Linked DNA regions of Cricetulus griseus. The protein of the gene in region 2 interacts with the protein of the main gene of each other region in a biochemical or structural test. Links are inferred from orthologs where the notes say so. Each region holds a gene or a part of one and is shown on either strand. Other genes may lie near its edges.

Evidence for each region. The genes of interacting proteins can lie anywhere in the genome.
Region 1: of the proteins of Rhoa (region 2) and Kctd13, one has a biochemical effect on the other in vitro, tested with the Homo sapiens proteins (2 studies listed by BioGRID, with this or other methods). The link is inferred for Cricetulus griseus from reciprocal best matches to the Homo sapiens genes RHOA and KCTD13.

Annotation. Positions count from the first base shown.
Region 1 is NC_048596.1:73,807,369-73,811,025, reverse strand, and holds part of Kctd13 (BTB/POZ domain-containing adapter for CUL3-mediated RhoA degradation protein 1), read left to right. Parts: intron 1-970; coding exon 971-1,060; intron 1,061-1,174; coding exon 1,175-1,227; intron 1,228-1,844; coding exon 1,845-2,040; intron 2,041-3,657. UniProt on the Homo sapiens protein: Substrate-specific adapter of a BCR (BTB-CUL3-RBX1) E3 ubiquitin-protein ligase complex required for synaptic transmission.
Region 2 is NC_048597.1:216,484,013-216,489,527, reverse strand, and holds the start of Rhoa (transforming protein RhoA), read right to left. Parts: upstream 3,187-5,515; 5' UTR 3,045-3,186; intron 2,650-3,044; exon of another isoform or gene 2,512-2,649; intron 1-2,511. Other genes in the region: Tcta (T-cell leukemia translocation-altered gene protein), read left to right, coding at 3,659-3,881, 5,148-5,410. UniProt on the Homo sapiens protein: Small GTPase which cycles between an active GTP-bound and an inactive GDP-bound state.

The DNA of each region.
Region 1 (3,657 bases), on a different chromosome or scaffold from region 2:
AATTCAAGGCAAGTTCCAGGACAGCCTCCAAAGCTACACAGAGAAACCCTGTCTCGAAAAACAAAAACAAAACAAAATCTCAAAAAATAACTTCTGTAATTTGTCTCAGAATTTTACCTTCAGAGACAGAGGTGGTCTGGCACACTCCAACGTTTGGGAAGCTAAGTCAGGAGATTGTTTAGTTTTTTTGTTTGTTTTTGAGACAGGCTCTCACTATGTAGATCAGGTCTCATTCACAGAGATCTACCTAAATCTGCCTCCCAAGTGCTGGGATTGAAGGTGTGCTTCACTATTGGCAGGCTGAGGTAAGAGATTGCAAATTCAAGGTCAGCCTGAGCAATTTAGCAAGGCTGTCTCAATTTTTAAAAAGGGTAAAGGATATGGGTCAGTGATGGTAGAATACTCATGGTCCTGCTCCAGCATACAGCACTGAAAAAATAAACAGTCTCATTGTACTCATCCAGGGCTATTCATTCAGCAAATGTATGCTGACTGCCACCTGTACAGTCTTCAGGAAGAGCTTACATATATAAAACAAATGTAGAATTAAGTACTGTGAAGAAAAGGGGGCAATAATCTGAGCCCAAGGAAGCTATGGTATCGAGGCAGTGGAGTGGGGCTGGCACTGAACAGGGTTGGCGCTGTTTGGGTCAGCATGCTGAGCTGAGAACTGAAGGGTCTAGTGAGCTTTGCACATAGCTCAAGCAGGCTGACCAGTGCAGAGTCTGGGAGGACACAGTTTCGAGTCTAAGGAGCAGCAGGTTGGCAGGGTAAGGGTAGAGTTGTGGGGAGGGTACCAAAGTCCAGACAGTTTGGGGAATTTCAGAGCTAAAACTGGAGTGGTCACATCCCTATGAGTCTTAGGGACACTGAAGAGTGTGTTTTCAACCCCCAAGCAGCTTCAGAGCGCCTTTATATAGTGCAGTGCGTGAACACCGGTTGTACTGCTAATCTTCCACTTCCTCCCCAGCAAAAAAGGGAGAACCTGTCCCCGCTCTGCCTCATCCCCACAGTGACATCACCCCGGGAAGAGCAGCAGCTTCTGGCCAGCACCTCCAAGGTGAGGCCCCGGAGCCCAGTGGGTTGTGTGTGTGTGTGTGGGGGGGGTTGGAGTTGAAGGCTGCTGTCCTCTCCCAGTCTCTTGACTCCACCCTCCTTCAACTTTCCCCTGCAGCCCGTGGTGAAACTTCTGCATAACCGCAGTAACAACAAGTACTCCTATACCAGGTGAGCGCTGGGGGCATGGGCGTGTGTGCATGTGCTCACACACTGGGGGATGTGGGTGTCCACCGTGTTCACTGGGTAGAATCCTAAGGTTGAGCAGGGTTCTGCTCCTGTCTCTCAAAAGAGTATAGCTACATGAAGAGACTATAGACTGCCTGCCTTTTGAATGCCCCATTCCAGCTGTGCCGCCTGCCACCATAAAGGAAGTTTAGGCCAAGTCTGTGGTAATGGCTGGCATAGGCTAGCTCCTTTTTTCCTAGCAGTATTGGTCTTAGTGTCTGTTGACTTATCCACTCTCCCAATGGTCTCTGGAAGTGTTGCTTTCCATCTAGAGATGATATTGTGGCAGCAAGGGGTAAAATAACCTGCTTCATGTTGCTGAGTTAAAATGTAGCAGGGCTGGAGTGCCTAGTGACAGCCTGGTTGAGGGTGCCTCTGTGCTGTGCAGCAATTTGTGCTGTGCAGCGATTTGTTCAGAAATGCTTCCCTTCTGAGAGGCCTACACTGTTGGAAGTCCCCTGCTGGACAGGACTGGAGTGCTGGAAATATGGGCCCTCTTGGGGGAGCTGAGGGAGGGAAGACAGTCAGTCACCTAAGGCCTGCTGGACCCTGGTCCTCAGCACTTCAGATGACAACTTACTGAAGAACATCGAGCTGTTTGACAAACTAGCCCTGCGCTTCCATGGGCGGCTGCTCTTCCTCAAGGATGTCCTGGGAGATGAGATTTGCTGCTGGTCTTTCTATGGGCAGGGCCGAAAAATCGCCGAAGTGTGCTGCACCTCCATAGTCTATGCCACGGAGAAGAAGCAGACCAAGGTCAGAGGGGATCAGGGAGGGGTGGGAGGTAGGACCAGGACCCTGGACAGAGCAGATCAGCAGGTCAGGCAAGGTCAAGATGTTGGTGGGCATCCAGGGCCAGAGTTCTAGGGCTCTGGCTGTGTATCTTGGGTAGGTCTCACTTCAGGGATGTTTCTCTGCCTATGAACTGAGGATGTTAGAGTAGAACCAGGTTGTTTTGCTTTGCTTTGGTTTTGGTGCAGGGATTCAGCCCCGGTCCTTGTTAAGAAACATGGTAATTTTTTTTGTTGATTTTGTTTTTTTTTTTTCGAGACAGGGTTTCTGTGTGTAAACCTGGCTGTCCTGGAACTCGCTCTGTAGACCAGGCTGGCCTGGAACTCAGAGATCCTCCCGCCTCTGCCTCCCAAATGCTAGGATTAAAGGTATGTGCCACCACTGACCAGCTAACTAGTTAAATTTTAAAATGTCCCAGTACCCAACCTGTGTTAGACACTGCCCCAGACTCTACACCAGACACAGTATGTTGAGCAGAGTGCCCTTTTTCCTGTCAGCTAATGAACTTATGTTTTCAGACCCAAGCCAAGCATCATTTCTCTTTGGACACCATTGCTCATGAAATTTCAATACAACTGCCTCAGATAAAGTTGGTCAAACTCCCTCTGGTTGGACAAAATGTTGTAGTGTAGGGTAGAACAATGGCTGCAGAGCAGTGCTGTACCTTTTCCTGTCTGATGTCCCCTAGCTAATATTAGCCTGGTACTTGTCACTTTGTGGAAGTACTAAGAAATATTGATCAAAGGCAAGGAATAGATAACTCAGCTTCCAGAAGTTTTTGGGTTTTTTTTTCCCCTTCAATTAGGAAGATAGGAAGATACAAAAGGTTAGAATGTAGCTTATGGGGAGGGTGTGGCCATGTATACCTGTAAGTCCACCTAACTAGTCTTGTGTAAGAGGACTGCAAGGTCAAGTGAGACCTGTCTTAAAATAATTAATTCAGTAATAAACAAGTAAATAAACATGCAGGACTAGTCCAGCATGCCAGAGCACTGGGCTCAGTCCTCAGTACTGGGAAGAAGGAAAGGCAAGCTGTGTTTATTATGTCCTTCTAAGACTGCCCCAAAATGCCACTTCTCCTACCTCATTTCCCTGTTTTTCTTCATCATTTTGTCCTGACATCTGAGACAAATTCCTGACCAAACCTTTACACTCCTTGCTGCTGCTCTTCAGTGTGTTTTCTCTGTCTATCTGCCTCCTTACACATTTGGCTAAACACCACATTCCCAGCAAGGCCTTGCCTGAACTCCCTCCTGAAAGATGAAGCACTCCTGGGGATGGCCATTCTCATCCCTTTTCCTCCTAACTTTCTGCATAAAACGTCATCAGCTAACTGAATGTATATTTTAGGAAGTGTATCTGTGTCCTCCCCCTGGGCTTCCAGCGTGCTTAGGGCAAGCATTTGTTATCACTGCTATGTTCCTGATGCTTAGAACAACCCCTGGAATAGTGGCAGGTACTCAAGGTTCATTAGAAGAGAGAGCATTCCAAGAGACTAGGCAGTAAAGGATAACTGTCTGCCTTCGGGGCCTGGAGGAGAGCCTACAGAGGAGCCGCTGGGGAAGGGCTGTGGGAGGGTAG
Region 2 (5,515 bases):
CTGAGGAAGGTTGGAAGTTCAAGACTAGCCTAGGCTGCTGATGAGTTCATGGTCATACCCTAACAGTGTAATGAGACTATCTCAAAACAAAAGTAAAATCAGGGTTGGGGATATACTTCAGTAGCAGAGCCCTTGCAAGTATGTGTAATGCTCTGGGCTCAAGCCTCCGGCTGAAAGGTTATCAACCCATTAATTAAAATATATAGAGGCTAATAGTATATAGCTAAGCAACAGAACGCTTGCCTAGCATCAAAGTTGGGTACAATTCTCAGTACCACAAAAAATAGTTAAGTAACATAACTAATGCTTTGGAGCAACATCTGAGTTCTACTGGGTAGAAACATAAAGAGGAGAGAAGAACATTACTAGGAACTTTTTTTTTGAGACAGGATTTTGTTATATAGCCCAGGCGGGCCTCAAATTAACAATCCTACCTCCTGGAGTACTGCAATTATAGGTTTCTCACCTCACCTACTTCCAGTTTTTAAATTCAGCATTTGTACACAGCATGCCATCATTGCTAGCAGTTATAACGCCATGGAACCAAATGTACTGTCTACAGAACCCACTAATCTCAAGTCAGTCTTGCAACAAGGTTAGCCAATCTCTCAAGGTTAACCTCCTCCTCCTCCTACTTCCACCCCACCCCATGGACTAAGAAACACCTGAACATTTTACTCTTCTAAAAATTTACACCGCTAATAGAGAGGATGGGCTGTTAAAAGGATTAATGATGAACAAAGAATAAGGACTATGAAAACACTCCAACAAAACCATTCTCACACACTGCACAGACCACTGCTTATGTATGTGATTTGTGCATTCTCACCAGTTCAAGTTAAAATCTAGTCAAAGGGGCTATAGTAGCCTGAAGACATTCTAGGGGGACCTCATTATGTTGTCTTTGTTAACAGTCAACTCCCAGAGGCTGGGTCCTCAAGAAAATCAACAAACTCAAAGACAAGGCTAAGCCAGAAAAGGGCTATGTACAAAAACTAGAAATTTAGACGGGCATTGGTGGCGCTCGCCTTTAACCCCAGCACTCAGGAGGCAGAGGCAGGCGGATCTCTGTGAGTTCGAGACCAGCCTGGTCTACAAGAGCTAGTTCCAGGACAGCCTCCAAAGCCACAGAGAAACCCTGTCTCCAAAAACCAAAAAAACCCCAAAAAACTAGAAATTTGTTTGGCAAGTGAACTGACCAGATTCTCCCTAAATACGCACAATCTGCAAGGTGAAGAACAGCAAGAGAGTAATCAGGAACCCTGATTTTAGCCGAGAGTACACGGAGGACTTTTTTTTTCAGATAGAAAAGTAGTTTTAGTCTAACTAGACATATGACCTTCAAAATTTTTAACGCTCACCAGGAACGGTGGTACACATCCCAGCACTATTCAGAAGGCAGAAGCAGGACAGCTAGATCTACAAATCAAGTTCCAGCGCTCAAGTCAGACTCTGTGTCCATTTCTCTTAAGTAGTAGGCAGGGGTCTCTCCCACTGTTCTCTCTGCAGAGTGCTAATAAACCTTTCTCTTGAAAAAAGTCCCTGAACTCAGTCTCCACGCCTACAAATGGAGTCAGCCTATAAATCCTTTAAATCTTTTCCAGTCTATATGGGGGAAAGTTGGCAGATTTTCCTTCTCCAGGAGATTTCTGGGTAGCGGCATTGTAAGTTGAACACTTGACTTTTGACTCAGTTAGTTATAGGGCTGGAATAAAGCTCAGAGATATAGCACCTGCTCACTATGCCCCAAGCCCTGAGTTTAATTTCAAGCACCAAAGAGAAAAAAAAAATAAAATAGAAAACACAAGCTCTCTATATATTTTATGCCCCTAAGAAACACCTAAGTAGACAAATTCTCACAATAGTTCTGAGAGCCTTCAATAGTAAGACCTAGCCTTGTATTTTAAGTTAACAAGGATACTTGTGTTAAATGTTCCAGACAGTATCACTACCAAGATAACCATGTGGATGGTGAGAAACCATCCACACGGTACATTCACACTTGGACATGTGACACTTAATGGCTGAAAATTCTCACCACATACTACATTGAGTTTCCCATCCCTCCAGGTTTGCCAGAGGAATATAATCTGGTTATATATAACCTGCAAAACAACACTTATTTCAAAAGAATGTCAGAAGACAGAAAGAACCATATGAATAACCAACAGAGGTTAAAATTCTTAGTGAGGACTATTAGAAAATACAAGTAGAACCAATTGTGGGACAAAAAAAAAAAGATGCCAATTTCCCACTTTATGCTACTAAACAAATCAAAAAAACAAAAACAAACAAAAAATATTTGGGTGCAAAAAGTACAATTTCAAGAAAACGACCTGAAAAGGGAACCCATCTGTAAGTGATTCCTAATTAAAGCAGTAACTTTAAGTAGAAATGCATCTATATCGATGCAACCTCTCCAAATTATTTTTACAATGTTTTTTCAACTGGAAAATACCTTCCCCCCATACAGTCTTCACCGCTAAGATTTCAAAACAATCATTTACTTACACAATCTCTAAGAATACGGCATTGAAAACAGAAAATCCACCCAAAGCCTCACTGTCTTCACCCGGTATAAAACGGTGATTAATGATCCACATTCAATGTAAAAGGCAAAATGGAGTTGTAAAAGAGTTTCTTGCCTATTCCAACTCCCGACACCACGCGCGCTTCACAGTGGCAGACTCCCCCAGCGCGGTCGCGGGCCGGCCGGGAGCCCCCGCCCAGCCCGGCGCAGCCCTGAGAGGAAGCGACGGGGAGGGCGGGCGGCTAGGGCTCCACCAGGCCCGGCCGGGCGGGGGAAGGGGGACTGGAGGCGGCGGGGCGCGCTTCGGGGACTGCGCGGGGCGGGCGGGGCCGCCGCCTCGGGCGCGGGGCCCCGGTCAGGGGGGGCCAGGGCTGCCGGCCGAGAGCAGCAGGTGGGGCGCGCCCGCGACTGGGGGACGGCGGGTGCCGGAAAGTGCCGGGCGGGCGGGCGGCGGCGGCGGCCGGCCGGCCGGGCCCCCGGAGCCGAGGCGGCTGGAGGGAATGCTTCTGCTCACCTCAAGGCGACCACTCCAAGTCCGGCCTCTTCGCGCCGAGGACGCCTGTCCGCGAGTCCGCAAGCTCGGAGACGAGGACCGGCAGCTCCGCGGAAGACGGCGGACTCAGCAGAGAACCGACGGAGGACCGCGGGCGGCGGGCGGCGGGCGGGGAGCGCGAGCGAACGAGGGCGGGCGGTGGCGGGAGGGCGGGGAGCGACGTGCGCGCCCCCGAGCGCCCTGCGGGCTCGAGCTGGCGCCAGTCGCGGCCCCGCGCACGCGCGCACTCTCGCAGTTCGTCCACGATTGCTCAAGAGCGCAACCACGCCCTAAAAGCAAGACGCTTAACCAATCATTGCGGCCGCGTGGAGCATCACGGGAACTCCGGGGCTATAAAAGACCAAGTTGCTATTTTATACTCACCGATTCACTCATCCTTTAAGTAGCAGGGCGGGGATGGGTGCGCCTGCGCGGTTTTAAAGCCCTGCCCCAAACTGCCAACACTTCGCGCAAGCGAAGTAGATCGTCTTTGCCCGACATTACGCGTGCGCACCTACTTCTCTAACCCCGGAAGACCGTGCGCTTGCGCAGTGAGAACTACGGTGACAGTACACCCGGTGGGGCGCTGGCCAGTCATGGCGGAACCTTGGTCTGGGCAGTTTTTGCAAGCTCTGCCCGCGTCGGTGCTCGGAGCGCTGGGCACCCTGGGCAGCGAATTCCTGCGGGAGTGGGAGACACAAGACATGCGAGTGACTCTCTTCAAGCTGCTCCTGCTGTGGTTGGTGTTAAGTCTCCTGGGCATCCAGCTGGCGTGGGGGTTCTACGGGAACACAGTGACCGGGTTGTATCACCGTCCAGGTGAGGCTCCCTACGAACCTCCTTGGCCTGGCTGCCCCTACCACCACCAAGCTATACCACTTGTTTCTCCTGTGTCCGCGTAGACTGCCACTGGTCTCCCAGAAGCCTCGTTGCACCCAGACTTACACCCCCATACCATCTTACATCAGAATCCCCACCTGTCCATAATCACGTTGTAACGGTTTCTCAAAAACCCTTACCAGACAATACTACCAGTCCCTAGCATCCCAGCCCCAATCTCTTAAACTGTACCAGTGGCCCCTTACCTGAGCCTGCTCAGATCCCCACCCTCAGCCTCCTGCAGCTCTGGGTGTGTTCCTGCCTCCAGGTCTGGGTGGCCAGAATGGATCCACACCTGATGGCTCCACACATTTTCCTTCATGGTGAGTAAATCTCCGTCTATCCCAACCCCATGCTTGGCAGGCAGAGAACACTGAGTGCTGGTGACAGGGAAGAGAATTCGCAGGGCCACCACCTTAGTGGCCTCTGCAAGAACCCTCCAATTCTGCAGGTAGAGCTCAGGATTCGAGTTGGGCATTTAGCAGTGCCTCTTATCAGCATATGCAGTGGGGATGGATGGTGGTGGTACCGTAATTTTAGAAAGGTGAAGTGGTAGGTAGGTCTGTTGGAAACAAATCCCTTGATTGGGAAGTCCTTCATTAGGAAAGTGAGAGTATCTATTCTAGGCAAGTACTGTACCATTGGAACTATAACGCCAGCCTAACAGCCTCTATTCTTAGCACACTACCTCATCAAAAAAAAAAAAAAAAAAAAAAAAAAAAAACCAGCCTACTTATCAAGACACTTCATTCAGTCAGTCTCTGAGCTTCTACCAGATAGCAGAGCTCACAGCAGGCCCAGAAAACAAGGACAACCCAGACTCTGCTACAGGGGAAGCAAGAGATTTAGAAGGAAAATAAGTACAAATGCAAAGTTGCTCAGGAAAGCAGCCCCTCCCCCATGACACCTAAACTGAGACCAAAGAGAGGACGGCACAGTATACTGGATAAGAAAAAAAAAAAAAAAAGGATAAAAACAGACCCAGTAGCAGGGACAAATGTGACACACTAGGAGACTAGGAGAGGCTGTGATAGTGAACTTTGAACACAAGAGCATAGGGGGACCATGGAGCGATTGAAGGACTGATTCAGCAAGACAGTGACCTGATCTAATTTGCCTTTATAACTCTCTGCTTAATAGCAAGTATTCATGGATAAACTATTCTGCTATTCATGAAGTAACCTTGCTTCTCTCCATCACTTTCAGGGAAATGGCAGCAAATGAACCTCTCAAAACCCACAGAGAATAAGGGAAGGCAGCAGCAGAAGCGTCTCCAGAGACATAACTGGGACTGCTGGCTCCTAGGTTGCATCCTGCTGCTGCCCAGACCCGTTGGACAACTGCAGAGGGCTTGGGGTTGGGGGACTGGAGTACCACAGTGTTTCCAGGGTGAGCCTCCATTGCTTTCAGCCTTGCCTTCAACAGCTCCAGGTACTGGGCAGGTGAAGTCTGTCTCTACCCCAGTGTAGTTGCCCTAAGACTTCTGTCAAGGGTCAGAGCTAAGAAGCATTTTGGTTGGGGAGGTCAGCAGCCCTTTCACTTTGTCTTTTTCCTGTCCTCATTTCCTTGGGATG